4 linked regions of the Alligator mississippiensis genome follow. The protein of the gene in region 3 purifies or fractionates together with the protein of the main gene of each other region. This does not show direct contact. Links are inferred from orthologs where the notes say so. Each region holds a gene or a part of one and is shown on either strand. Other genes may lie near its edges.

Region 1 (7,086 bases), on a different chromosome or scaffold from region 3:
GCCATCTGTTTGCACCTTCCCAAATCTGAAAGTCCTCCCTTTCATCCTTGCCCGTAACTCTTTAATTTTTCGTTAAATCGAGGAGGCATTTTAAGATGCAGTTTACATATGAAGAATTGCTTGAAGAACTTTATGTTGTATTTAAAAAACAAACGTATATTGGGCGCCTTGCACAATATGGGGTGTTTGATGGACAAGAACTGGGATTCAGGTAATCTTGGAAGCAAGAAGATAAAGATGCAAAAGCAACCGTTAATTTATCGATAAATAAATGCTTCAAGAAAAAATAATTTTTGAGGGGAGTTCTAATTATCATTATAAAGTGCAAATGTAAAGAATCAAATTATACGGTCTCTCAGAAAGAAGGAAAAAATCCCCTACAATACAGTGATAAAAAGACGACACATCTACATGTGCCCCTACAGCGCCATTGTTACTGCCCCACCATTTAGTGCTTCCTTTTGGAAGTATTAAACGACGGTGCGAGAAAAGTCCATACCGTACGGTGCTGGCGGTGCACAGTTATTTTTAGCCGCTACGTTGCTGTAGCAACGCGCTATAGCAAGGGAGCATGTTGCTACAGCAACATAGCTGCAACATCACAGTTTGTGTCCGCCGACACTACATCGCCATACCGTGTTGCTATGGTGATGTAGCGTGTTGCTACGGCGACATAGCATCTTGTGTAGACACACCCAGAAAGTGTCAAATGAAGCCATCTTAAGAGCTGTTTTCTCCTAAAAGAACTCAACGGAGAATTATTAGGGAATGAAGAGCTCCCTTCAAGGCTTGATGGGTCAGGAAAGTTGGTAGAAAAAAATTGTAGTGATAAACATTTATAATTTAAAAGAATATAAAAAATGTGATAAGGTAACGAGACAGAAACAAACCCCCATGCCCATGTTGGGACCAAGTGACATTTCAGAGGTAGAACCCTTAGTAATAATCCAAGTCTGACAGCAGTCTTATCTCAGGAGCATATCTCAGGATACAAATATGGTATCCAGGGAAATATTTTGATTCTGAAAACACTAGCAGACAGTAAAGCACTGATTTCCATCTGCCACCTACTTCATGCCCACTACTGCAGTGTTTTACTTAACAGTCAACTTTTTATGATTGCAAACCATGATTCAACTCATTAAAGTCTATGGGTGGCTTTCTATTGACATTAATGGGAACAAGATCAGACCTACCAGCTTTTAATGTACAGAGTATAAAGATTATATACCTCATCTGTGTAAAAATGCTTTGAAGCGCTTTACAAATGTTGGCCAGCTAAGCATCTTTATCTTCTATTAGAGACTAGCCAGGAGCACTAGGTAACTGAGGTCTCACGGATTTGTAATGATCGTGAGGCATGACAATACTTTCAGCAATGACAGAGCTATCCCCACGTAGCCTCATAAAGACAGATAACACAAGACTGTCACTCACAGCACAGCTCTGCGATCCCTCCCTTAGAACAAGTCATTCTTACATGAGAATATATTTTTACCTATTTTAATATACGTTGTGATTAGATTTCCTGCCACTTCCAGATGCTGCCCATAACACGCACAATGGGTGTGGAAACTGGAACAGTTTTCCATCCATGAACTAGCTGTTGCATTTATGCCTTACTTAATTTAGATCTATGTAAAGTGGCGCATGCCTTACAGTAAGGAGTACCATTATGAAGTGATTCTTTAGACCTGATGTTTACTAGATGTTGGGACAAAGCAAAGACTCTTACCCCACACATGTTTCTTTAAAAACATGGAGTTTTTTCTGAAGAAAACAGGTTCCATAAAGATTTCTTCCCTAATGTTGTAAATGAAAGAATGCTAACTCCACAGGGCAAAGAACTGCTAAAATGTGATGTTTGTGACATTTTGGATTATGACTACATTACTGATGCCGAGTGTATGATGCTGCTGTTTTGTAAGGATTAAAATAATAAAGAGAAAGTTAAAAAGAATACCCACACCTTCCGTGGTTTTCCATCTAACTGTTAAATCTGGGCTTCTATGGATTAATGAAAACCTCAGGGAATTTTGTGCCAGTGGTTTTTGTGCTTCAGTGCTGCTGTTCTATACGACTGGGACTGGCTGAAAGCCTCTGGTAACCCCAGGAGTGTTTACACCATTTGCAACAGCACTTCCCTGCATCGTGTCTCCACCCCGATTGGGAAAGGCCCCATTAGGATCAACAATATAAATCAGCCTCTGCAAACCATTAAACACTGATGAGCAGTTATTCACACAATAATCAAACTAAAGCTAATTCAACTCCCCTTACAGTCTGGCCTTGACTTTTTTCCTGCAAACACCAACAATATTATTAGTCAATGCTATTTGTGATGGTGGGATTTCTGTAGTGCTGATACCTCCCTTAGAAACAGAGTCAGAAAAAAACATCAGATAGAAACCATTTTTGGTTACATCAGCTGGGTTTGGCTCAAAGTTGCTCTGGAGATGAAAGGCTCCACGCGCCTAATAACTCCCCTTAGCCATCCAGCTCTCTGAATGGCAAATATAGGAAATACAGTAAATTCATTTTTTAAAGCCAAAGGTGCTTAATAACCAGCCTAGCTGTGTGTCTGCAGTGTATAGGAACATGCAAATTACCATTTTTTTTGGTGGGGGTGTGACTGAAGGGAAGTGAAAGGAGAATTGTTGCACCTTGCACTCCCACGTGCAAGTAGGAAGATTCAAAGTAATTCTGATTTTTTGGGAAAGGGAATTGCAGGGCCATGAGCTGTCCACTGGAAAAGTGCTGTTTTCCCTCATTCTGAGGCCTGTTCTAGTTGTGGACAGCTCCACAGATCCCATGGAGCGGAGTACAGCTGGCACAAAAGGTCTCGCTCGGGCAGCTTTTATTTTAAGAGCAACTTGAGAGATTAGCATTTTGATTCTCAGCCCGACTTGGCCTCCTAGGGAGAGTCCGGTGCAACGTGCTGCTGCACGGAGGTGGTTACGTGCACAGCTGAAGTCAGGCGGTGTGGCACCTTCGGCGTGAACTGCTTCAGACAAGCACGAGCTTTTGTAGGCACGACCAACTTCGTCACGTGCAAGGACCGGGCTGGCGGACTGAAAAGATTTTAGGGGTGCACATAGGAGCAAACGGAAATGTTTCCACGTGAAACGTGCTTGGAGAAGGAATCGTTTCAGTCGTGACCGCGGGGTTGGGGGCGCCTACGTGTCACCCAGCTGCAACATCAGACGCGACGCGAGGGCGCGACGAGGGGCGCGGTGAAGCGAGGCCCCGCTCCGAGAGGCTGGAGCGGATCACAGACGGCACAGGGAAGCGGGGCTGGAAGGGACCTCCAGAGGTCACCTAGTCCAACCGCCCGCCCGAGACGGGACCAGCCGTCTCCAAACCATCCCGCTCACCCCGGCACCCGAGACGACCGCCAACCCTGACGCGACACGAGATGCGGCACCCCGGCCTGCCGCGGGGCCCGGGGCAGCCGACGCACGCTCAGGAGACCCCAGGCCGCAGAGGAGGGCAACCCCCCCACGCCCCCGGTCCGTACCAGGCTGACCAGGGGGCACAATCCTGACCCCAAACGTGGCATGGCTCCAGCGCTAAGCGGAGGGGCCGGACCCTGCGGCTCGGGGCCCAGCGGGAGCATGGGCCCAGCCTGCTCGGCGCCTCCAGCCTGGGGGTCCAAACCCCCTCACACAGGCGGGGGGCCCAGCCAGGCCCACACCCTGGGAAATCCCCAGCGCCCGCACAGGCCTCGCCGCCCCCTGGAGCCCCCGCCCGGGGAGGGGGGGGATGGGGTGCCCCCTCCTCATCGCCAGGGCAACGGGCGCCTCCTACCTGGGCCGTCGCCCCGCTGCGCGCTCATGCTGCCGCCGTCGCACGCGGGCCCGGGAGCGCGAGGCCGCCGCCGCACAAAGGAGCCGGCGCTGGGAACCCGCCGGGAGCGCCTTGTTGCGCGGCGGAGACGCCGCAGGGGAGCACCCGGAAGTGGAGCTCCCCGCCGGCCGGAAGGCTTTGGCGGTGACACCTGGGACGGCCGGAAATGGGAGAGCGGGGGTTCCGGTCCAAACCGGAAGTGGGCCTGCCGGACGGGTTTGCTGGTGCGCCACCCGGAAGTGCGCCCCGGGCGGCCGCCATGGCCCCGGCGTCGCGGTCCCGCAGCCCCGCCGCGTCCCCAGGTTCCCGGCGCCGGAGCAGCCACGGCCGCGGCTCCTCGCCCAGCCCCTCTCCGCCCCGCCACAGCCACGGCCACGGCCACGGCCGCCGCTCCCGCGAGGCTTCCAAGGCCCCCAGCCGCCGACAGGGCCGCAGCCGCAGCCGCTCCCGGCCCCCGGCCTCGGCTCACCACGGCCACCACCACGGCGGGAAGCTGTGGCCCGAGGACTACGAGAAGGAGAAGGAGGAGCTGCTGCGGCAGAGGCGAGCGCGGGCCCCGTCCCCTCCCCCGCCCGCCTTAAAAAGGGAGCCCCTGGGGAGGGAGGCTGCACACAGGAGCCCTCCAGGGACGTCACCCCATTAAAGCGAGTGTCCCGGGGGCGGGGGGACAAGGGAACGGTTTCCTTGAGCAGCGCGTGCCAGAGAGGAGCCCGCAGAGGTGACGAGCGCACGAACGTGCAGCCAGTCTCGGCTTGTCCTCCCCGGGGCCGCGCTCCTGGTCTCGCAAGGCGCAAAGCTTTCTTGGGGACCCACGCGCGTGATAAAGCCACTTCTGCGATTTGTTTTGCACTGGATTTGTTTTGCGTTGTAATAAATAGCGTGTCTGAAATGACTCATTTGGACGATTGCTCCAAATTCCTGAACGGAGCTGTTGTGGTGTGACCAAAACGCCCGGTTTATTAGGCTGCACAAAAAAACGGGCGTGTGCCTCCTTCTAGGTCTGCCTTGGTTTTCAAGACAGATCGGCCTGTTTTTGTACTGAAGACAGACCGACCCCTTTGAGGACTGAGCAAAACAAAATTCAGTTGAGTCCTGTTCTTAGATGTAGTGTTTGGCTGTGGAATTAAAAAACAACGTGAAGTGTTTCCATTGAAGAAAGGGTGTCCCCTCATCATGTCTGGCCTGGGAGATTAGAAATGCTAGCATGCAGAGATACAAACAACTCCGCTTTTGAATGTACATTTGGGAAGAATAGTACGTGGGAATTTAATGCTGATGTGGATCTTCACAGGAGACTAAATGAGAGAGAGAGAATTGGAGAACTGGGAGCACCTGAAATCTGGGGGCTTTCACCAAAGGTTCCTGACCCAGAGTAAGTAACATTGTCTTGTGGTTGCTCCCCCTTCTTTCTAGGACCCTTGTGTGTAGTAGTGTCCCCAAATAAAGCTATTAATAATTTAATTACTTCAGTATATTTATAATTTCTATTGTGTATCTTATGTCAAGCTAGAATAAAACTTTACTTACTATGTCAGTTAAAAACATTTAAGTATTTAGTTGACCTAATTCTACTCACTTTGGTTTTCTGTTTGTTTTGCTTTTTTAAGGAAGTCCCGTTACACACATCAAAAGATCACTAGACTGATATGATCAGTTCATGATATTTCATATAATCCCGAAACACCCCTTGGAGAAGACGCTCATATGTTGTCAGTCAGATTAGGATTCTTTAGTAGTGTTTTTCTGAAAGTGACTTGTATATTTTAAATTGGCTGCTTAATGGTTTAATTCATGACTGACTCTGACTCAGTCTCTGAATCTATACACATTTGGTCATGTGCTTGCTTTTGGATAATTATATGATCTTTGCTTTAGATCATAATAAGTTAAACTCTTTGTTTCTTCTCAGTTCTGATGAGCATACTCCAGTGGAAGATGAGGAGGCAAAATCTAAAAGCAGCTCTTCAGATTCCAGCTCAGAAGGTATTTAATTTTTACTGTCAAAATAGTTTACATATTAATAGAACTTCTCAGGCTAGTGCCTGATCGTGTTATTTGCAGAGAAGTTCATTGACTTCTTGTAGATTCGGAAGCAAGCATGATACCAAGATCAAGAAGGATTTATGAAGCTAGACTGTGCTCATCTGGTTTGTAACGCTCTCTTTCAGAAGAGAAAAAGAAGAAGAAGAAAAAGAAAAAGAAGAAAAAATCATCAAAAAGGAAACGCAAAAAGCATTCTGAGGACAGTGACAGCGAGTCCGACTCTGAGCTGAACTCCAGTGGTAAGAAAACAGCTTCTCTTGGTGTGTATCATCTGAAACCTTCTCCTGTATGTTTGCAGTCATGGTCAGTAATGCGCCTGCTTTTTGTTTGGTATCTTCCTGATGTCCTGAGGTTTTGTTTCAGTTGCTTAATCCGTGTTGTGAAGAATAACCTGTAGGAGATTTTGGTAATTGTGTCCATGTCTGCTTTCAACCTTAACTACTTCGTGTTCTGTTTAAGAATCAAGTGTAACATTTTCCTAGTCCCTCTTCCTCTTCTGATTTCCTTACTGCCTCTTACATGTGGAAAAGCCTGTTTTTGCACTAAGCGATCACTCAAATCTTTCCTTAATACACCTGTAATATAGAGTCTTTCAACTTATTACAGCAGTCTCCTAGCGCAGAAGGATCATAGCTCCAGCTTCAATGCATGAGGTTTGGCCATCAGGGAATGATACCCTGGCTGTAATGTAGGCCATTAATTTTCAGGTCAAGTGTGGTAGGAACTGGAGCAGACTGTGTGATACTACATGTACCTGCTTAAGCATTATTTCTAGGGGTGCCCCGATAAAGATTTTTTGGTCAATACCAATGGCTGATTATTAACTAGCCCTATTGGCCAATACTGATCCGATAGCCAATGCACAGCCCAGCAGCTTGAAGAGCAGTGTCCGGCTGGTAAGTCTGTGGGGAGGAAGGTGTCTGTGGGAAGGAAGGGATGTGGAGGGGCCAGATTGAGGCTGCCACAGTGAAGGAGGGAATGGGGCTGGAACAGGGGCAGGTGCTGTGTAGCCAGGGTAGGGCAAAGCCACAGGCCGGGGGTGCAGGGTGGGGAGAGAGGGGGTGGTTCTCACTACTGTGCACACCCCTGGGGGAGGTATGTGCTCCCCAGATTTGTGCATGGGGTGAGGGTGAGCTGCCCGTTGCAGACTTGGGGTCAGGGGATGCATCAGGCTCTTCCCGGCAGAGGGGTTGGGCT
Region 2 (6,959 bases), on a different chromosome or scaffold from region 3:
AAGTTGCCAAACAAACAGTCAAGAAATGGATGTTTTATTTCCTCATTTAGAGAAACTGGAAAATGACCCTGTAGTACATCAGGAGGTCATTTATCTTCAGAAGAAAACTGATTTTTTTATTTCCCTTTCTCAGCCACCACAGAACCGATCTTCATCACTCGCATTGAGTTGGTTTATGTTCTTTCTGAATGCTAGCTAGTATCTTAGACCCCTTTCCTAGATGCTGGGCTGCTTTAATAGTGACATCTTCACTCACAGGTATTTCTGAGTTCTGTTATTCATGGGCAGCCTGTGTGTGCGTGTGTGGCAGACCAGCAAGGGGACAGGCAGCGCAGTGACAGATAGGAGAGGGAGAAATTAAAGCAGCAGTTCAGGCTGGGACCATGGGGCAGAGTAGCTGATCAGGCAGGGGAAGGGAATCAGAGTGGCACTCAAGATACAGGGCTAATCTGTGGCATACATGCCAAAAAGGCTGGCCCCTAGTGCTGTAAACAGTCCATCTCTGAACTGGCAAGATAGTTCTGGGGCACTGCTGTTCTGTTGTCTAGCTCTGAGATCACAACATGCTTGATCAGGAGTAGGTTAAGGCTCATCCTCTCAGCACAGCTCCCCATAGCCCTCAACCATTTAGGCAGCCAACAACTGAATAGGCTATTCTTTTTGAAGTAAACAAATATCCCCTGTGGAATGCCATGGAACAAAAGCAGGAAGCCTGTATTTTTGTCTCTCCTAGGCCTCTTCAGTCTATTAATTAAAAAGCTTTGGGTCCAGCATCTTTAACTGCATTAAATCTACTTTTTTAAGAGGAAAAAATGCTGGTGGGAGCAGCTAGGGGAATGCATAGAACATTTCTTCAAAGATAAGTCTCTCTTCTTATGAGGAAACCAAATTATACAGCAAGGTTTGTATGTAGATGATTTTAATTAGTATTACATGTATTAAAATAAATGTTGTGAATAACCCTTCAATGCTTACAACTTTTAGGAAGAATTAAAAAAAACAACAAATTTTAACACTGAAATCTCTTTAGACTAAGGCTACCTGTTCTGTTTGTACCCTACATTCTATTACTCTTTAACATTTAAATAGGAACAGATTCCTAGAAGAGTGATAGCAATTTGTATCCAGTGGTAAGAGATTTGCCATCCACCTTCCCATCCTTAAAAAACCTGCTGCCCCTAATATTCTGTCTGGGAAACTGGCATTGTGATCAGCAACACACGCTTCCCTTTGTCGAATGTGGCTGTAGCTGCTTCTTCATTGATTAACTCTGGCAGATCCAGCTGTAATCTGTATTTCTCAGGGACCTCGATGACTAGATCATCCTAAAAGAGGCAAATAAAAATACTCAGTAATGCAGGCACTTAATAGTCTCAATTAGAAGTGAAGGGGGATCCTGTAGATGTGCAGCAAGGCTGCTTTGATATCCTGTAAATCCACTTCATCGGAGCAAATTCGATTAATCGAGTCTGCTGGAGCACGGAAATTAACGTGATGCAGCAGCCTCCAGCATCATGCGCATCAGCGTCCCTGCAATGAAAAATGGCAACGGGGGCGCTTTGAACTAAAGCTGGTGGTTTGATGAGCTTTAGTTCAAACCGCCCTGCTGCATTTTTCAGTGCAGGGATGCTGATACACGTGACAGTTGGGCATTTTTAATTATTGCGGCTCGCTAATTAAAGCACCCCCTCCACCCCCTTCCCGAAGCACATCTGTAATGCCCAAAGGTTTTCTGGGAACGTTTAGAATCAACTGAGAGAAGACACGAGGTTATCATCATCCCCAAGGGATGACAAGGTCAAACAGTCACGAACTTCTCCAAGACCATTTCAGGCTGGACATAAGGAAGAACTTCTTTACAGTCCGAGCCCCCAAGGCCTGGAACAGGCTGCCGCCAGAGGTGGTGCAAGCACCTACTCGGGACTCCTTTAAGAGTCAATTGGATGTCTATCTTGCTGGGATCCTTTGACCCCAGCTGACTTCCTGCCCTGGGGCAGGGAGCTGGACTCTGATCTTCTGAGGTCCCTTGCAGCCCTGATGTCTGTGAAGTCATTTCTGTTCCACTTGCCTTTGACATGCTCAGGTCACATTCTGAAACAGAGCTAACTTTCGGCAGTTCAACCTTCAGTTCAATCTTTATGGGTTTCTTGTCAGCATCTGGCACGACGGTCAATTCATAGACTGGTGCACTGAGTTCTTCCGGCACCTCTGTACTGGCAATCTCCTCTATCAGAGGCACTTGAGACGGCGTGACTTCCTCCTCCAGCAGGAGCATAGCATCCTGGCTCTCCTCCGCTTTTGCCCTATGTATCAGCTGGTCAAGCGTCAGCCCTTTCCCATCTGAAAAATGTTTTACTGAAGTTATTCTTTCATTTCTAAGAGGCTCGTGTAGGCAGTAACTAATCTAACCCCAAGCGACAGAACTGTGCCATTGCTAAATGTAAGTTTTGCAGTCAGGAACTCAGCAGCTTGGGCTGGTAACCTAACTACTTGTATGTAAGTGGTTTGGCATTTAAAGCTTCCACCAGGATCGAGCTCGAAGCTCAGCCAAGACTGGCTTCAACCACCTGTTGATTTCTGAGAGTGGGAACTGGCTTTTATAAACTGATCTGGCAGGGGCTGCACTGAAGGGGGGAGCTGAGCCTCTCTCCCATCTCGTGCCACCACCTACTCACCGCTCCTCGCCTGCTCCTGGGGACACGGTCCTGGCGTCTGCCCTCTTCTCAGACTCTCCCTCATCCTTTGCAGGCTCCCTTTCAGTTTGAACGGTGCAATGTGGTAGGCGTAGGACAGAGTCAGGCTGTAACGCTCCTCGATGAATTTAAGCGTCAGCCGGATCAGCTGGTCCAGTTCTGCTCCGTTCTCTTCTCCCCTCTGAAGAACGGCGGGGTTGTACGCGACATCCACCACGCTGTAACGCTCTAGGAAACAGCGAGTGACACCAGCATTGAGCAGTTTCTCAGCAGGAGCTCGTTTCATTGACCCTCGCATCACCCCGTCCTGTTTTTTCCCCAAGCTGTGCCATCCCCTCCCCCCCCAAATTAAAATAATTAGTTGTATCTTTCACTCTTCGGTCCCACACGGTGGGTGCTATTCGTTAACTGCGTGGGCCTTTACACCCATGTCCCCCAGAGCAGATACAGACAGACAGGAGCGTGTTTCAGAAAGCCGACTTGTAGAAAATACCGACGCAGCCAAGCGTTTGTCACTCGGGGATTAAAGAAGGTCATTAACGCGGGATGGGGGGAGGTTTCAGCCGGGGGTACGCGTGCCCCTGGGAGCCGCCGATCGCAGCAGGGACCCCCTGGCCGCCCGCCGGGGGCACGCGGCTCCAAGAAGGCTGAGCGCCCCCAACCTGCCGCGCGCGGGAGCTGCAACGTGCGCGCAAGCAGACGGTCCCCAAAGGGCCGCTACGATGCGGTGACAGGAGCGGTGCCGTGCCACGGTGTCCCCGGACACGTCCCGCAGCCGCTTGCGCCCGGGGTCTCGAGGCGCCGCGCCGGGTCCTTGGGGCTGCGTCTGGTGCCGCTGCCAGGAGAGGCGAGGCGAGGAGATCCCGACGGGCCGCGCCCGGCACCCACCTGCCTCCCCCGACGCCTCCTGCAGGCGGCCGGCGCAGACGGGCACGGGGTGCCCGGGCGAGCGGGGGGCGGGCACTCGCTTCCACCCGCACACGTTCACGAATAACGGCTTCTCGCTCGAGCCCTGCGAGGAGGCGTCGGGGCCCGGCGGGTGCAGCCCCCGGCGGCGGGTGCGCAGGCAGAGGCGCGGCTCCGGGGCGCTGTCCCGCGGGCCCCGCACGAGGCGGCGGTAGCGCTCGGGGCTTCGCTCCGCCAGCTCGTCCAGCGCCGCCCACAGCTCCGCCACCAGGCCCTGCGCCGCCATGGCGGCCCCGCGTGCCCATGGCAACCGCCGCCGGAAGCGGAAGGGGCCGGCCCGCTTCCGGTGCCACCCGGATTCCGGGTTCGCCCGCCAGGCCGCCACTTCCGGGGGAGGTGTTTCGCGGGGGCGCACTTCCGGGCGGGGCAGCGCGCGGGGCCTCGCCGCCCCCGCAGGGTGAGGAGTGTGGGGGAGGGGGACACGGGGGTGTGGGGGGTGAAGGGGGAGGGGTGAAGTGGGGGGCAGGGGGTGAAGGGGAGGGGTGAAGTGGGGGTCAGGGGTTGACTGGGGGAGGGGCGAAGGGGAGAAGGGTGGGCAGGGCGAAGGGGCACGGGGCCGAGGCGCTGAGCAGAGCCGTGTCCGTGCCCCGCAGGATGTCCCGGGTGCCGCTGGGCAAGGTGCTGCTGAGGAACGTGATCCGCCACACGGACGCGCACAACAAGGTACAGCCGAGCGCCCACCCGGGAGCTGCCCCCAGCTGCCGCCGCGGCGTTGGTGGCCTTCCCCCCAGGCCCAAACGTCTCCCCTGCTGGTCCCGAAGCCCCGTCTTGGTGCCGGGGTCTTTCCGGGCCGCGACGCCGTTGGCACGTGGCTGCCGCCGAGCCGTGTCGAAGCGGGTTGTCTGCGCTGGGGTCTTTGGGGCCTGCGGCAGAGCGTAGTTTGGATGTCAGCTCAACCGCCGCAGCGCTCTTGTCGCCTCCGCTCGTTCCTGCTGCTTCGCCGCGCGTCCCCGTGCATCGCTGTAGCTGCCATGTCTGCGTTGGACCCCAGACGGCTTCTAGCGCGGGGGCTCACGCGGGCTGTTGTTGAGGGCAGGGGGTGACTTTCACCTCGTGTGTCCCATGTGAGAGGGAAGCTTCCCCGCGGCAGCTCTGCTCTTTGGCTCGCAAGTTTCCTTTAGCTCAGGTACAAGACACGTTTGTATTCGGTTTTGCTTTCAGATTGGTAAGTCCCTGCTACACGTTGCACATATTGTGCTATATGCACGTTGCATATATTGTGCTATTCATTGGTTAACCACGATAGACTTAGACCAGCAAAGTAATTCCCACCTGATAACAATGACTCTTCAGCTATGAAAAGAGCCAAGCAGCTATAAAGTTAGTGCTTGAAAATGTGTAACAACTCGAGAGCTGGTTTCTGTCCAGCTTTCATTTGAATGTGGGGCAGGGCCCTTCGTACTCCTTTATTTGAGCTTTAAGCCAGGCAAAGAATGCTTGTCCGTTCATTTGTCTTTTTATGTTCGTGAGGTGATGCAACATGAACCAAAGTTATGTCAAAGCTTTAGGCAGCTGGACGCTGAATTTCCAGGCTTATCGCAGCTGCTGTCTTTGGATCCAGCAACATGATGCTTGAGAGAAGTTGTGTGCCTCAGTGTGTTGTATTGAACATGGCGAGAGCCGATGTACGTAGGGAACCTGCAGAAATCGAAATGCAGAGCGAGGCCTGTATGTGAACAGTGCGGCGCGACTGTACAAAACAACTAGTTTTCTGTGCAGTTCACCGTGGTTGTAATGTTGCACCTTTTAGTTAATACAGTATGACTAAAAAGCCTTATTTGCATCAGTGTAGCAGGGTGGTTCTGCTTGAAATTCATCCAACTTTGGAATTGCCTCTTTGAAGAGGTGATACTTTGTGCTTTGTATTTTCAATGTCACATGTATGAGGTACTTCTATTTGTCTCCTTTTTCTTTTTTTTCCAGATCCAGGAAGAATCAGAAATGTGGAAAATTAGAGAGTGGGAGAAACAGACTCAGGAGACTTACGAGAGGAAGCAAAGGAGAATCTTGTCTGACACATCCAGGTAGGCGGATAAAATTACTCACTTTGTAACCAGACCACAGCAGCCTCTGTAGTGCAGTAGTGATGAATATTTACAAAACACTTAAGTGACCTGTATGTAAATGCAACAGATGTATCTTCTGACCACTTCTGTGGGCCCTACAGGGTACAGACACACGCTGAAAGACACCAAATTCCCGTTGAAGTTTCAGATTGCGTGTGTGTGATGATCCAGGCATGCAGCTCTACAGCTGTGTAACTTTAAATTGGCTGGGGCCCCTGAAATAACAAGATTATAATATGGCTTGGAAGTAGTTAGAAAGTTGATGGAATAATTGAAGGAAAAATTGTGCTGTCCTAAGCTGATTGACCTCCTTGGTGCTTGTGCACTGCTATTGCAGTGTGTGCTACAGTGGTTCAGACCCAAGATCTTGCCCAGTGTAAATCTGCCATAGTTCTTGACCACTCTTAATTTTGGGTTTTAAAATAGCAGCAAACTGTGGAGAGTCAGTGCAACAGATTCATTGTGAGCCATCATGGGCATGCCTGAAAGTCTCATAAGCTAAAGTAAGATCAGCCTCATGTGATTGATCTGTAGAGACCTCCAAGGAGTTTGCAAAGCTGCAGGTAGTGGTTTTCTGACTCAGTTCTGCTTTTCTTTTTCAGTCTGGCCTGATCCCCATGCCGGCTTGGCACTTGGCAGGCTCCCTGAGATCATTAGAAGCCTTGGCACCATTGTTTCTTAGATTCAAGCTAACCAACTTCCAACTCCAATAGTTACTTTCTGCCTCCTGACCTCTCCTGATTTCTGCCGGATGCCCTATTCATCACACCCATTGTCCTGCATGCTGTTAAGCAGCTGTAGGAATCTGTTCCAGAGGTGGTTGCGCATGAGCTGTGAATGAAGTAATCCTATCCCGTTTCTTCAGATTGTTTGGAAGTGCATTGAGAAATTATGGTGGAAGGCGGCTTTGATAGCGCAGGTGGTTAGTTAATCACTGGGCTGGTCCGTGGAACCCGTCTATGTCTATTCTTGGGAGATGTAACTTATACTTTGCATGGGTTGATAGTCAGAGACATTTAGATCTGTGCTTCTTCCTCTGTGCCCTTTGCGTCCTGAATTGATCCACTGCACAGAAAGTCTCTTCCTCAGAATTGCCTGCTGAAGACTACTTGTTTTCTTTCGGCAGCAGTCGGATGCGCAGTGATGGGTTCGATGAAGAAAGCCAAAGAGCTGACTGGAAGACAAAGAACTTTGAACACATTCCTGATGTGATCGAAGAGGATTTCCTTAGGGC
Region 3 (7,391 bases):
ACCTTTGGCTTGAGGTCACTCCGGAAGCCCAAGCCTTTCTGGTCCCTTTTGAGGATTGTCTGAACGGGAAATCTACGGCCAGAGCCCTCAGGCCCCAGCCCAGCCTCGCGGTCCCAACCACCTTTGACCATGAGCTGGAAGCCGACGTTGGTCTCTGGGATGTGGTAGCGGGTCGGGGGCAGTGGGTCGCGGCGGTTGAAGAGGTGGGCAGTCGAGCGCTCATGGAGTTCCACAGTGTCCTCACTGTAGTGCGCCTGGCACACGGCACAGAACTTCCTCTCCGCCGGCGGTCTCCTGAGGAAGGGACCACGGGGTAGATGTCTCAGAGCTCCGAATGAGGGGTGGGGAATGGAGATAGGTGCCTTTCCCCCCTCTCAGGGGTGCTGGCTCCAATCCAGCCCCAAGGCAAGGGGTGGGGAAGGTGGGGAATGGGGTATGTGCCTTTCACCTCCAGGGGACACCAGACCTGATCTAATTCCAGGATGGGGGTCCTGACTGGCTCACAGAGGAGGAAATGGGGCACAGAGCCCTGCCTCATTAGGGGATGCCAGGTCTGATCTAGCCCCACAGCAAGGGAATGGGCTGGCTTAGAGGTTGGGTAATGGGCTTTTTACTGATAGACAAACTTTTTTACTGATGCACCACCTGTTTACTGTCAGTGAAAAAACCTTTTGGGTTTAGCAGCCCTGTGTGACTGCAGCAATGGTTTCACACCACAGGGGTCTCTCTACCAGTGTTCCTTTTAAGTTGTGCGCGCGCACGGCCACACACAATAAAAAATCATGCTGGGCAATAACTTTTTAATGCTACGCACACAGTGGCATACCAACGGGGGGTGGGGCAGTAGGGGGCATGGCTTTGGGCGCCGGCCTGGGGTGGGACACCCAGTTCTGTAGCAAGCGGGCACCGACACTCCCCCTGCTGACACTGCCAGCTTTGCATCTGGTCGCTTGCCAGACACCCCAACCTGGCTACAGGCTGCTGTAGGAGGGGGGAGGGGTGGGCACACTGAGGTAGCCGCACACTCCCAGTCACGATTGCTCACAGATTGCCAAACCTTAGAGGGAACATTGCCCCTTACATCCTGGCACCCCTGACTGCTCCTGTCATGCTGCCCCCTCAATCCCTCCCTCAGCTCTATCCTCACCAGCCCCACTTCCCTCATCCCAGCACAAACCCGCAAAGAATCCCACCTGCAACCCAGCAGCGCTACAGAACAGGAAGGAAGCAGCAGCATGTGGCTAAGGGGAGGGGTCTACAAAATACCAAAAGGTTCACCACAGTGTGCTGTGCTCGCACTTGGACACCAGGTGGTGCTGCTGTGCTCTGTCCACCCTTGCCTCAAGCTCCACTGTCTAACCTCTTTCAGTGAGAGGCTCAGGAAGCAGCCAGTGCTTGCTTGTTTAAGGGATTGCTCAGTTTTATTCACTGACTTCATGGACAAGCATTTAGCTTGGATTTTTACTGCTAAATAGCTTGAATTTAAAGGCTTGGCATGAAAAATCCAGGCTGCTTTTAAATTCAAGTTTCTAGCCTAGATTTTTACTAAATGTCCCTAATTTAAGAACTTGAATTTAAGGACAGTCAGTAAAAATTCAGGGTAAATACATTTGTGTGTAAATTTATGGACAACTGGCAACCCTGGTCATGGGGTTCTTCCATTCCTGGTACCCCCAGCGCTAATCTACCCCCAGATAACAGGATATGGGGCCTCACCTGGGTTCCCTCGTGGGTGGCCGCGCCGTCTCACACTCCCGCAAGACCTCCACCACGTTCTCGTGGCCAGCTTCCTCAGCGAGATCCATGGCATCCCGGCCCTGTGCTTCGCACACCCCCACCCAGGCGGCCCCCCGGCTCAGGAGGTACCGCACAGCCTCTGCCTGCCCGGCGTAGGCCGCACACATCACTGCTGTCCAGTAGAAACCGTCCCGGTAATTGATGTTGCAGCCTTCCTTCTCCAGGAGCCTCCGCAGGCCCCGCAGGTTGCCCTCCTGGGCTGATCTGAGCAGCAGGTTGCCCTTGCGGTCATCCGTCTGGTCTGGTGGCGCAGGGGGAGGAGCTGGAGCTTCACGGCGCCTCCGAGGGGCCCTACGTTTCCGTGGAGGGCTCCTGCCGCCGCCGCTGCCGCTGCCCCCAGGAGCCAGGAGACTCTCATAGAAGCTGCGGGCTTCCTCGCCTGCTCCGGGGTCCTCCCGGCGCTCCCGGGCAGAGGAAACCTGTTTCCGGAGCTGCCCATCTTTCCAGAAGTCTGAATCCTCTCGGGCACGGGTGAAGGCAATGAGCTGGACGCCATGGCTCATGGCTGAGGCCAGGGACGGGGAGCAGGCAGGACGACGAGGGTGTACCACGAGACTTCACCCTATAGGAGGAGACACTTGAAGTCAGCTGGTGAAGTTGAGAGACTAGTTTTGGGGTGGGAAGCAAATGGGAGGGGGAAAGAAACAGACTCCGGGTCCTGACAGGGCCCACAGTGCCCAGGGCAGGGCGGCGAGGCGCTGTGGGCCTCCAGCAGATAAGGGGTGAGGATAAAGGGGGAGATCAGGGTGAGCAGGGCAACAGCACCGGGGCAGAGACGTGCCTGGGGGGGGGGGTGAACGCAGGCTGAGGCGGGACACGGGGCTGCGGGCCAGGGGGATGGGCGTGGGTCTGGGGCAAGGGCTGCAGGTCAGGAGTGAGGGGCACCGGCAGGGCTGGGGGGTCAGAAGCCCCGCCCCGGGGCCTGCCCCCTCCCTAGGCCTTGGCCGGACTCTGGCACCCCCCAGAATCCCCCGCGGCAGCACTCACCATAGAGACACGCGAAGCTTGCGCAGCCCGCCCACCCCACTTCCTGCTCCCGCGGGCCGCGCGCACATACGCAGCACCCGGCGAAAGTGAGGGCGGGTGGGCTGCTGCGCATGCGTAAAAACCTACGGCGGGGCTTATGCGCGCGGTGGTTGGCGAAGGATTTGGAATCTACGCATGCGCGTGCAGAAAGCGGGTGGGAGACGCAGAGCACCGGCGCACTCACTCACGTGACAAGCGAGGAGAAATCGGCGCATGCGGATCAGCAGCACCCCGTTCCCCATGGCAATTAGTACACATGCGCAGTCCTCCCCGCTTCCCTCCCCGCCTGTCTCCCAGCAACGGCCCCCTCCCGCGCGAGGCCGCCGCTTGCCCCGGGCTGCTTAGCCAATCCGGACGAGCGGCCCCCCGGCTTATTTGTATAAAGCCCAGAACCCCCTGCGGTCTGCCAGGTGTCCGCTCTCCAAGCCAGGCGTCTAGGTCCCCGTTTCAGGGGGGCGCTAAGGGCCAGTTGGAAGCAGGACCACTTCTACCCATGGGGCAGGAACGCCAGATTCAAATTCAGAACAAAAAACCATGAACTATCTGAGATCACCCTAGCCTAAAGGAAGGTTGAAACTCTATTTAAAAGCTTGGCTTAATTTGCATATGAACACAAAAAGGGAGTTTAGGAACCATGCTAATGAGCTGGGGCTCGGGCTCGGGCTCATTAACATAAGGGGGGGCCCATGGACAAGAGGGCGGCCATGGAGGCGGCCCGGGGCCTGATCCGGCGCAGCAGCAGCAGCCTGAGAGAAGGTAAAGGGCGGGGCCCGGACCCGGGGTCCCTGGTCCTCAGCTCCCCAACAGGGCCTGCCCGGAGCGTCGGGGGTGAAGCCCCGCCCTTCTGGGATGCCACAGCCCCCCCGGTGGGCCCTGAGGCGCGGTAGCCACGCCCCCTTGGGGAGGCCTCGCTCCTCCTCGCCAGGGAGCGCTGGCGAACCTCAAAATGCCACCCTCCTAGAGCAAAGCCACGCCCCCTTCCAAATAAGCCACGCCCCCAGGGGCCTCGCCTCTGGCCTGGATGCTCCTGCTCTAGGGCCTTTAAGCCACGCCTTCTTCCCCGCAGGCCACGCCCCTCGGCTGCTCTTTTTGAACCTGGTATGCCTCCATCTGCTCCCGGCTCTTTAAATCCAAGCCACGCCTCTCTCCGGAGGCCACGCCCCTTCTTTGTGGCCACGCCCCTCCGTGGCCTTGAGCTAGGCTGCCTTCGGCGGCCCCGGCCCTTTGAAACAAGACCACGCCCCCTTGCTGAGGCCACGCCCTCCACGGGCTCACCTGGACGAGACGAAAACTACAACTCCCCTGATGCTCTGGGGCCGCTCCACGCCCCTTCACGCTCTTTCCCACAATGCACCACGGGCGCAGCTTTCCCGGGCCGTGGAGAGCCTCCAGCCGCCCACGTGACGGGGATCTGCCCGGAAGTTGTTCTCCTCTCCTGGCCTTTAAACCGCCGCGCGGGGGCCGCTGGGAAGTGTAGTCGGAGCCGCGGCGCTGCGCCGCTGCGCCTCTGGCTTACCGCACTACATCTCCCGGCGCGCCGCGGGGCGGGGGGTTTACAGGGGCGCATGCGCAGTGCCCGGCCGACCACAGGGCCTGGGAGCTGAGCGCTGGGCGCTGGGCAGCCCTTGTCGGTGTAGGGGACCCGCTGAGGCCCCGCGGTGAGTGGCGGGGGAGAAACTGGGGGTCCCCACGTGACCAAGGAGTGGGGGCAGGATGGGGGAGGGGAGGGGATGGGGGCCGGGGTAGGAGGCTGGAGCGGGGGTCTGGGTGGGAGTGGAAGGGCTGGAAAGGGCAAAGGTGGGGGTGGGGCTGGAGGTGGGTGTTGGGGGAGGGGCTTGATGCGGGGGGTTTCTTTTCATGCTGGGGAGGGGCAGGGATATGTGCCCCCTCCCCCACTGGAATTTTACCCCCCTCCTCTACACACAAGACAGGTTTGAGTTTGGAGATGTGAGGGGGGGGGTACAGGGATATGGGAGGGGCTGGGAATGACTCTCAGCCTCCCCCCACCACCAGCCATAACTTCTGTCCCTGTTACACCCAGCCCTGCTCCACCCCAGAGCCAGCTGCAGTTCCTGTCCCCATTACCAAGTCCCGTGTGGTCATTCCCAGCTCTCCCGCACTGGTGTGTGGAGGGTGGGGGTGTACGTTCCATGCACTGCCCTTCTTTGCGCCTAGCCAGCCCCAGCTTCTGTCCCTGTTACACTCAGCCTGAATTCCTGGCCCCCACCCCAGAGCCAGCTGCATCTTGGGAGTTTACCTCCGCTGCTGGGTGGGGAGGGGCTGTGCTGGGAGCTGCCTGGGCTAGGGCTTGGGAGACTCCGGGTTGAGACCTGCCGTGCTCGTTACACGACTGGGAAGGGGCTGGTGGGGTTGTGACAGTTTCTTCCCCCGGCAGAGGAAGGGAAGATGAGTAGCTCAGAAGAGGTCTCCTGGATCTCCTGGTTCTGTGGCCTGCGGGGCAACGAGTTCTTCTGCGAGGTGAGTGGGGTGCGGGTGCCTGGGTCCTTTGGATGGGATGTGGGGCCTGGTAGAGTTGGAGCAGGCGGGGCTGGGAATCGAGACACCTGCGTTCTCTCCCAGTTCTTGGAAGGTTGCAGAGGTTGGGAAGTTGGAGTGGGACGTCCGGGTTCTCTGGGAAGTGAAGGGGAAGTGGGAGGTGAGAGCAGGGGGGCTGGGAGCCCCCGCACCTGGGTTCTCTGGGAGGGGATGGAGGGCTGGAAGGGTACAAGCAGCCCGGAAGCCTGGGTCCCAGCCTTGCTTTCCTCTCTCCCTCAGGTGGATGAGGACTACATCCAGGACAAGTTCAACCTGACGGGGCTGAATGAACAGGTCCCCCACTACCGCCAGGCTCTGGACATGATCCTGGATTTGGAGCCAGGTGATGACATGGAGCAGGGGCCTCTGGGAGGCGGGGTGCTTCTGGGGGTCCCCAGGCCTCCTTCAGCCCTCCTGTGCCTCTCCAACTTGGCCCGGTGTCAGGTTGCACACTTGTGCCCTCCCCCTTCACACATACAGAGGTGCCTTTTGGCGTGAAATGTAGCCTAGCTAGGCTCTCCATGAGGCTTCAACTCTGTGTGTCTCACGTGGGGCAGGGCATGGAGTGGGGGCACATATTGCACAAGGGCAGGAGCCAGGCTAGCCTCTGCCTCACGGTGGTGCGAGGGCCAGTGGCAGAGCTCTCGTGCTGCCATGTTTCATGACGCAGGCTTCCCTGCACTGAGCCTCTGCCCCTTGCCCGACGTGTAGCTTGCTTCTCCCTCTCCTTGCGCAAGCACGTGCCATGCTCTCATGAACACCAGTAGCCTGGAGCCCGGGGAGCTGCTGTGTGTGCTTTGGTGCCAGAAGGACATGGTCCTCCCACACTACCTTGCACAAGGTGGTGGGGAATTCTGGGCCTGGGGTACGATGCTCGGGCCTCGCACAAGGGAGTCATGGGACACATTAGTGAAGGAAACACCGTGGGGAAACTTAGGGGTTTTTCACCCGGGGTGGGGGCTGAGAACCTGTGCATGCGCACGTACGTGTCCTTGCACAAGGGTCTGAGGGGCACAGGCCTCACCTGGCACCTGCTGCATTAGGCCCAACCATGGGCAGCTCTGTTAGCCTGGAATCTGTTACCCTGGGTTGCCCTGTTAGCCTCACCTGCTTGGGGGCAACCCTGTTGGCAACCCTCATGGCACTTTTTTCCTTCCCGCCACACCCAGATGAAGAGCTAGAGGACAACCCCAACCAGAGTGACCTCATCGAGCAGGCGGCTGAGATGCTCTACGGCCTGATCCATGCCCGCTACATCCTCACCAACCGTGGCATCGCCCAGATGGTGAGCTGGCTCTGCCCCCACTCCCCAGCCAGCTGGCACCCCCTGGAGGGCATCAGCTACCTCCTCTCCCTGCTTCACATCTCTCAGCTCTTCTATTCTTCCCCAGCTCGAGAAGTACCAGCAGGGTGACTTTGGCTACTGCCCCCGTGTCTACTGTGAGAACCAGCCCATGCTGCCCATTGGTAGGTGCAGGGGGTAGGGGGAGCTGGGAACCTGGAAGCCTGGGTTCCTTGGAAGTGGGGGAGGGGAGAGGCTGTGGGTATTGGAGCAGATGGGAGTGGGAGCCTGGACACCTGAGTTCTGTAGAAAGGGAGTGTGGCTGGTGGGCTACAAACTGGGCTGGGAGCCTGGATGCCTGGGTTCTGTAGGACAGGAGGGGAAAGTCAGGGCTGAGAGCTTTGGGGGGGGGTGGGTTCTGTGGTTGGGGAGTCAGGATTGGGAGGTTAGAGCTGGGGGACTGGGAGCCTGGGTTCTCCAGGTGTTGGAGTGGGGTAAGGGCTGGGAACCTGGACACCTGGTTTCTCTCTGACTCCCTTTCTTCTCCCTGCCCCCTTCCAGGGCTGTCAGACATCCCTGGCGAGGCCATGGTGAAGCTCTACTGCCCCAAGTGCATGGATGTCTACACACCAAAGTCCTCACGCCACCATCACACGGATGGTGCCTACTTTGGCACTGGCTTCCCCCACATGCTCTTCATGGTGCACCCCGAGTACCGGCCCAAGCGGCCGGCTAATCAGTTCGTGCCTAG
Region 4 (7,472 bases), on a different chromosome or scaffold from region 3:
GACATTTTTAATAAAAGGGAATAGTAAATATTATCATAGGCTAATCTAATCTGAGTCACAACACTGAATAAGCAATACATTAACTGCTTCACACACTTTTTCATGATAAAACTAAACTTGTTTTTAAGACAGTGGATCTATAATTAACCTAAGGATCAAGCACTTGCAAAAGACCACCAACACACTCACAGAACTCTGAAAAGCAACAGCACTGGCACTCCTAAACTGACAAAAGAATACAGTTGAAGGTGACCTCCATTAAACTTGTCACATTATCTAAAAATGTTCCTACTAAAAAGTAACCTATAGTCCAGTATCACATAGTGATCCCCATGAATATAGATAGCTTTAATACTAAAAAGTTAAGCACCCAAACAACATGATTTTGTGTAACAAGTACAAAAGGGTGGTGTCTGGGAGGATACTGATCTAAAGTTACACAAATCTGAAAGGACAAGAAATACTGCTAGATTTGCATTGTTTGTAATGAAACCTAATGGGACTCATCCTCAACAACATGCACATCATGAGGCAGGAATGCAGAAGAGAGAGAAAACAAGAATCATCCTAGGCAAAGAAGCATTGTGTAATGAAAACAGTTCCTGATACAATCATGTTTGTAAATGACAAGCAATGCTTCCATTTCAGAAGAATCACTTGTAAAAATGAGCGAGTAGATACCTGTGCTTATACCAGTATGTATGTGGCAGACTACACTTGGATTGCAAGCATCCTGACGCCCATCTTGCTGTAGTCATCTGATTGCAGCAGTCTTTCTGCCTAAGTGCAGGGGGGCTGGACCTGATGATCTGTAAGGTCCCTTCCAGCCCCTAACAACTATAAAACTATGAAAGAATCCAAGTAGAAACAGAGGAAGGCACATCTGAACCTTGATATTGTTCAGAGTTGCAACCAGTAGTACTGGTCAGGAATAAATTAACTTAAAGCATAATAGCACTTACGTTGTCTGGAAAACACAGGATATTTCTATATTTGAATGAAAAACATGCATGACTCAGTTTGTACACTCACTTTTCTGTTGTTAATCATTATATGTGAAAAGATTCATTTCTTTCCTGAAACACAGGATAAAGGCAGGCAGTGAGTGAGTGCGAGTCCCAGCCACATCTGGGCTGATATGAATGAACCATCAAGAACTATCAACAAGTGAATGAAGGATACCACCAAACAGCAGCAACTTTTGGTGAAGTTCCCGTCAGAACACTTGAGAACAAGCATAACTATGGCATAAACCAAATAACTCAAGAAGTGAACAGCGGTGAGTCTGAATTATGAATACTCAAGGCAAGAGGAAGGTCATGCTGACAATATGCACGTTTCCTGTAAGCTTTGCTTTTTCATACCAATTTATACAAGCAGCTTACATAAAATATACTGGTGGGATATGAAATGCTGTCTTGTTTGCATGAACACTGAACACGCTTTTCAAAACATCTGCTGGTTGTTTAGCTCCCCAGAGATCTGCCAGATATCTCCATTAAAATCGACTAACTGTAAGAAAAAGGGTTCTCAAGCCAGGGACCCAATGTCAGGCAGGGTAGCAAGGGGACAGGGTTCACCCTTGTTTAAAAAAATGCAGAATACTGAGACTGGCAGAGTCACACACACTATGGTATCAGAAGACAAAACAAAGTAAATGAAGAAGGTAAAGGACATATGCTTGACAAATGTGTTAACTGCAGGGTTGGGAAAGGATAGGCTTCTCTCAAAATGTAGAGGTTAAATCATTTGTTTATACCTTCTCTAGAAACTTACCAGGGGAGACCAGCGGGGAATGGTGCCCTGTTCCCCCGAGCACCCCCTGGAGTAACAAGGAATAATGGCCATAAGTTGTTTGAGAGTAGGTTCAGGCTGGACATTAGAAGACGCTATTTCACAGTCAGGGCAGCTAGGATCTGGAACCAACTTTCAAGGGAAGTGGTGATTGCTCCTACCTTGGGGGTCTTTAAGAGGAGGCTTGACAATTACCTAGTTGGGGTCATATGAGCCCAGGATTCTCTCCTGTCCAGAGCAAGGGGTCAGACTTGATGATCTACTTAGGTCCCTTCCGACCCTACATCTATGAATCTATGAAGTAGTAGAAAATAAAGTGGTGTAGTTAGTTAATTTAAATGTAAAGGATTTTCAGGGTGAAGTACAGGACAAGATTCTAAAAAAGAAAGTAAAAATAATCCCACTTTATACCAAGAAACATTTTAAGGGCATACTGGATTTTAGTGACAATTCTTAATATGAGGCGGGCAATTATTTTGGCTGGAGGGGCACTTAATGAGTTTTGGTGAGCTGTCGAGGGCCTCAAGAGTGGCCCTAACCCATCACAAACACCCCATCCCCTGGTCAACATCTTGGGACTGGAAGTCCTACCCCAACCTCTGAACTTTGCCACCGTAAGTCCCTCCCCTTGCTCCTGGAAGTACTCCTTTTGGGAAGGGGGCTTGGAACCGAAAAAAAAAAATCAAAACGAATTATACACTAAAAATCAAACATCCGTAATAATATATTTTAATTTTATTAAAAAAAAATTGTCTTGATTTGTGTGCGTTTGTGCCGTATACATAGAAGTAATTGTATAATAGCTCAAAATGAAGTCTTACTCTTGTATATTGTGGGGGGGGATTGTGGGGGGGGTGGAGCGGTGTGGCAGGGTATGGGTAGGTAGGCATGGGGTTTGTGGGGAGCTGTGGGGGTGTGTGTATTTAGGTGTTGGGTGGGTATGGGGGGCCTGTGGGAATGTATGGATGTGTGGGTGGGTATAGAGTTTGTGGGGGGCTGTGGGGACTGTGCGTGTAGCAGTGAGTGGAACTTCCCCCAGAGGCAGGTGGGTGTGTGGTGGGTACCATATCTGTGGGGTGTGCGATTGTGTGGGGGAGGGTGTGGTTGTAGGATTCGCAGGGGAGGGTTTGAAGGTATGTAGGGTGTGTATGGGAGCCCCCTCTCTGAAAATGCACATTTCCTGTGCATCAACCTCACGTTTAAGTGATGCTTTAATATGCAGTAAAATAGCCTACCACGCACGCATTAGAGCGCATGTGTAGACATGCCCTGCATAAGCAAGGATTTGGGCCACCAGCATTTCAAGTTATTCCCAGGCTTAATACAGAACACAGTCCTCTACAAAGCCCTCTCAAAAACTACTAAAGGTTGGATCTCTGCTCTGATTCCACTTTTCGTCAACTTTTACAAGCCTAAAACAGGACTTCTTGGGAAAAGTCACGCGTCCCTCATACTGATTCTAGATTTATTGGTCAGAGCTGTGAATATTCCCCCCTCCCCCATGGTCCTATCTGACATTGCTGTTTCAGCCAAAGCCGCAGTGCAGGTGTTGTTACATTGGGGATGAAGAGTCTTATGCTGGCACAGATGACTATTTAGAGGGCAGAAAATAACTTTTCAAATCAGAGCCCTTGTAAGCACAGGGATACTGAACTACCTTCAAAAGGTAGGCAAGATCTCATGCACGTGGCGCAGAGCTGTGATTCATAACCTTTTCTGAACTCATTTGTAAACATCAATGGCCAGTCCTGACCCAGTGTCCCCGCTGCCCCCCTCCCCCTAGTGTGTGGGGCAAGGGGGGGTATATGGGGTGAGGGGCCTGGGGGGCCCCAAGCCGCCCCATGGGGTGGCGTGGGTGGGGGGGGGCTGGGGCCCACCTGAGAAGCGCTCCAAACCCCGCAACTTCCCGTCGAACTAGAACTATCACTACCACCACCACCTCCCCGCTGCTCCGCTCACCTCGGAGGCGGCTGTGGTAGCGCTCCAGAGACTCTTCCAGCTCGGGCTCTCCCCGGGGCTCCCGCATGAGGCCGAGGTCCGGCTCCCGCCGCCGCCCCCTGCAACCACTGCCGTCTCCAAGGCGAGGGGCAGCCCTGCTCTCCTGCCCTTCCCGGCCCGCGCGGGCGCTCGGCAGCTGTAGTCCGGCCGCCTTCCGGGCCCCGGGGCGCCCCGCAGCCAGGCCCTCCCAGCAGAACTACAACTCCCGGCAGGCCGCCCAAGAGCCGCTTGGCCGCCCGTTGCTAACCGACCAGCACGAGGCCCCGCCCCTCACCTCTCCCTGACGCGCGAAGAGAGTCCCCCTGAGACTACGCTTCCCAGCATCCACCGCGAGCCGCCCCTCCCGCTACAAAGAGAGACTCTTCAGCGCCGCTTCCCCTTTGTTGGATGCGCGACCCGATCTGCGCGTGCTCACTCCCCTCCCCCTTCTCCTCAGGGTCTAGATTTGACGCATGCTCAGTCGTGACCTAGAGAAGCGGCGGGCAGATTCCCCCTGCTCCTCCGCTGCCTGCCTGTGGCGCATGCACAACGCACGCGCCCCTCAGCCCGTCATTGCCTGGGAGCGTGCGCCTGCGCACTGAGGCTTCCTCGGGGCGCGCTCGGCGGGGGCCGCGCTTGCGTACTGAGCTCCTCCCCTCCCGAGCCTCCGCATTGTGTGCGCGCGATCGGGTGGCGCTTGCGCAGTGGTGCGCCGTGCTCCGTGCCGTTACCCGCTATGTGCGGGGAATAACGGTGCGGCGGTTACTGGCGTCAGAGCGCGGCGAACAGCTTCAGTGCCGGTCCGGCGGGTGGTGGGGCAGTAAGTGGCGGCGGCGGCGGCGGCTGCACTCGGGCGCCCCTTCCCCACGCGGCGGTTCTCCCACGGGGGGTGAGTGCGGTGCCCCGCCCAGCCCCGTAACCGTTAACGGGAGGGGGAGGGGGACAACGAGGCCGGGGGGGCATTGTGGACGGGCGGCGTCCTCTCACCGGCAGCTGGTTCATTTTCTACTCCTCATCCCCCCCCTTCCACCTTATTCGGCAGCTCCGTCCTCTTTGAATGAATGGAGCTGCGCCCCCTTCCCCCACCTTGTCCATTTGGAAGGGGAGGGCAGAGACCCCCCCCCCTCCACCCCTTCTCCCAGGGGGCTTCCCCCACCCTGGGTCGCGGCCGGGCTGGAGGGAAGGGGCGGGGAGGTGCTGGGAGTGGCCGCGAAGGGGTAACGAGCGGTGCAAAAGAATAATAATTTTAAAAATATCAAAAATGCCGTGATGGCGGTTTTCCAACCCGAAGCAAGAGGAAGCAGAGTCTGGGCTGAGAGGCAGATGACAGGTCTGAGGATGAGCTGTGGTCTGTGATCTCATCCACACGCAGCCCCAGGCTGGTGGCTCTGCAGGGGGGCAGGGAAGAGGAGGGATTCTGGTCGCAGTTGTGTCCCTGGTTCCAAAATTGCATCCCATTTGGTATCCGGGGTGTTTGTTAGGCAGCCACCGTTCTTTGGGTAGATGTGATATCTTTTATTGGATTGGAAAAAATTGCTCTTTGGCCGCACCCCCCCTGCTTTGTCAGTCTGTTTTCTTGGCATGGGGAGGGGCTGCTAAGACCACCCCTCCCTCCTGAGAGGAAATTCATCGTGTTTCTTATTTTTCACCGGATTTCAGTGTGTGTTATGTTAAGATGGTACATGTTGCTGCTTGAAATGAAAACAAGCTCTTCTTTAGTTGGGGACTGTTCTGGTGTGAGCAGGGGGTTGGACCTTCTGCGGTCCCTTCCCACCTGAATTTTCTGTGATCCTCTGAAAATGCTGAATGCAGGAAGAACGTCCCACAGTTCCAGTCTCACGTGGAGGGAAGCTGGCTTTCGACAAAAGAGAGCTCGTGGCAGTGAGCTAGTTGTCAGCTTTCGAGATGTCATTTTGCGTGCATATTCTGGACATGCGAGTCAACAGCAATGCCACCTTTTCCTTACAGATTTAAGGTGTATTTACTGTGTAGTTGAGTAGAGGATGCAGAATGGCTGAACTCTCTTATGACCCTTAGTGGAAGGAGTGTTGATGGAGAGGATCCAGTGTCATGTAAACACCTTCTGTGAAGGCAGAGGTATTCATAAAATATTTAACTGAGTTGAGAGAATAAAACCTGGTCTTGTATGCTGTTTGATGCAGGTGGGCACCTGTATTTCCATGGAGATCCACTCAGAGCAATAGGACTATGTGAATGGATTTACCCCTCTTAAATGGCATGCAGGATCAGGACCCAAAGTCCAAGAGAAACCTGTAAGGGAAAACACGTGCTTACATATACTGTGGTTTCCATGTTAGCTTCCCAGAGTGTTCGGTTTTGCCTAAATGCTGAATAATATATCTGGCCAAAAAAGGCACTGTAAATGTGAAATCTGTTTGATCTTTAAAAAAAAAAAAAAAAAAGGTGTATACTTGTGATTTTTCCCAATCAATATTTGAGGGTTTGTTTGTTTTTAAAGGAAACAATTACTGTACGTATGTTTTTCTTTCAGCTTTTGCTCTGTTTAAGGCTTACACAAACAAGGGAAAGTCACTGGTGGGAAAACACTGAAGTTGGGGAAGTGTAAGATTTTGTTTTTAGGGCATGAAATAAGCAATCTACAAAAGGGAGTTTTTTCCCCTCATCTTTCAGTAGCCTAGAAGTTGCTTGTAATAATATCAGTTACTTTAAGTGCAGATAGACCTTTATAAATTGTTTGCATCCTTTAAATGTGAAGCTAGACTCTGAAAATTGTCTTTTTAAAAACTTTATTGTGGAATTCCATCTTTGTCTGATTTTGATTTCAAATTTGCTGAATTTATAGCTGTTAAAAAGACTGCTTATGCATAGCAGTTTAGGACAGTTCATAATTTTGTTGATAAAAGAATCGCACGTTAAAAGAGTGAACTGGAAACATTTGAATTCTTTACATACAGGTGACAAATATCGAAACTTCCCTTAGCACCTGAATAAAGCCAAGTCCACCTGTAGCTACAGAATCCAATCTTGTATTCAAATGTTTGCCTATGTGCATGCAAATCTAACTTGCTTAATATAAACTGATGCTGAGCTGTTTTCCTCAGTTTGGAAATAGTGCATTCTAGTGTCACAGCTGTTCCTCTTAGCTTTGGCAAAAAACATGAAATTAAAGTGGATCTGATTAGTTTCTGGTTGTTGTTCAGAACCATTTAAGAAACTGTGAAACTAATCAGATTCATATCCATCTCTGGTGTTTGTGAAATCTTTTAACGGGTAAAAGAGAGGCACTGAAGCTGTTCCTGAAGCAGAACACCAGGGTGTAGAAATTCTCATCTCTGCTTCAGCAGCTAAGGTTGGTAAGATGGAAAGAGTAGCAGAGAATTCCCTCTTGCAGAAGCTCTTGAAGGTAGTAGTGCAGATCTTCATACACTAGAATAAGTAGGAGATTATTAGAAGTATGGAGAAGTAAGGGTTTCATGTCCTTTCTTGGGAAATGAAGTTTCTAATTTGTTAATTGGAAGTCAGTGATACCAAAGAAGTTGTACGCAATTACTGTACCAAGTAATTAGTTAAGAATACTGCTTGTTAGGAATTTCACTGTACTCCCTTTTCCTAGTAGCAAGGGGTTTGTTGTGGTGGTAGAGGTTGCCCCTGGATCTTGCAGTCAGATATTCTTTGCCTTTTTTAGCATGAGCTTTTGGCTAGTAAGCTTTACTTTAAAA

The links.
Region 1: the proteins of CSNK2B (region 3) and NKAP purify together in Homo sapiens (co-immunoprecipitation; 3 studies listed by BioGRID and IntAct, counting the BioPlex papers as one, with this or other methods). This does not show direct contact. The link is inferred for Alligator mississippiensis from reciprocal best matches to the Homo sapiens genes CSNK2B and NKAP.
Region 2: the proteins of CSNK2B (region 3) and NKAPD1 purify together in Homo sapiens (affinity purification with mass spectrometry; 3 studies listed by BioGRID and IntAct, counting the BioPlex papers as one, with this or other methods). This does not show direct contact. The link is inferred for Alligator mississippiensis from reciprocal best matches to the Homo sapiens genes CSNK2B and NKAPD1.
Region 4: the proteins of CSNK2B (region 3) and CEP170 purify together in Homo sapiens (affinity purification with mass spectrometry; 3 studies listed by BioGRID and IntAct, with this or other methods). This does not show direct contact. The link is inferred for Alligator mississippiensis from reciprocal best matches to the Homo sapiens genes CSNK2B and CEP170.

The regions. Positions count from the first base shown.
Region 1 is NC_081831.1:72,523,308-72,530,393, forward strand, and holds the start of NKAP (NF-kappa-B-activating protein), read left to right. Parts: upstream 1-4,077; 5' UTR 4,078-4,105; coding exon 4,106-4,389; intron 4,390-5,137; coding exon 5,138-5,218; intron 5,219-5,755; coding exon 5,756-5,829; intron 5,830-6,014; coding exon 6,015-6,128; intron 6,129-7,086. UniProt on the Homo sapiens protein: Acts as a transcriptional repressor. Plays a role as a transcriptional corepressor of the Notch-mediated signaling required for T-cell development. Also involved in the TNF and IL-1 induced NF-kappa-B activation.
Region 2 is NC_081839.1:31,775,329-31,782,287, forward strand, and holds the start of NKAPD1 (uncharacterized protein NKAPD1), read left to right. Parts: upstream 1-3,952; 5' UTR 3,953-4,056; intron 4,057-4,252; 5' UTR 4,253-4,253; coding exon 4,254-4,322; intron 4,323-4,330; exon of another isoform or gene 4,331-4,785; intron 4,786-5,582; coding exon 5,583-5,683; intron 5,684-6,851; coding exon 6,852-6,959. Other genes in the region: PIH1D2 (PIH1 domain-containing protein 2), read right to left, coding at 1,179-1,325, 2,069-2,340, 2,676-2,921, 3,582-3,885.
Region 3 is NC_081834.1:58,329,430-58,336,820, reverse strand, and holds the start of CSNK2B (casein kinase II subunit beta), read left to right. Parts: upstream 1-4,373; 5' UTR 4,374-4,481; intron 4,482-5,218; 5' UTR 5,219-5,229; coding exon 5,230-5,301; intron 5,302-5,598; coding exon 5,599-5,701; intron 5,702-6,527; coding exon 6,528-6,643; intron 6,644-6,749; coding exon 6,750-6,825; intron 6,826-7,201; coding exon 7,202-7,391. Other genes in the region: GPANK1 (G patch domain and ankyrin repeat-containing protein 1), read right to left, coding at 1-294, 1,717-2,300. UniProt on the Homo sapiens protein: Regulatory subunit of casein kinase II/CK2.
Region 4 is NC_081824.1:159,685,403-159,692,874, reverse strand, and holds the start of CEP170 (centrosomal protein of 170 kDa), read left to right. Parts: upstream 1-4,454; 5' UTR 4,455-4,591; exon of another isoform or gene 4,592-4,660; intron 4,661-5,882; exon of another isoform or gene 5,883-6,044; intron 6,045-7,472. Other genes in the region: SDCCAG8 (serologically defined colon cancer antigen 8), read right to left, coding at 3,754-3,820.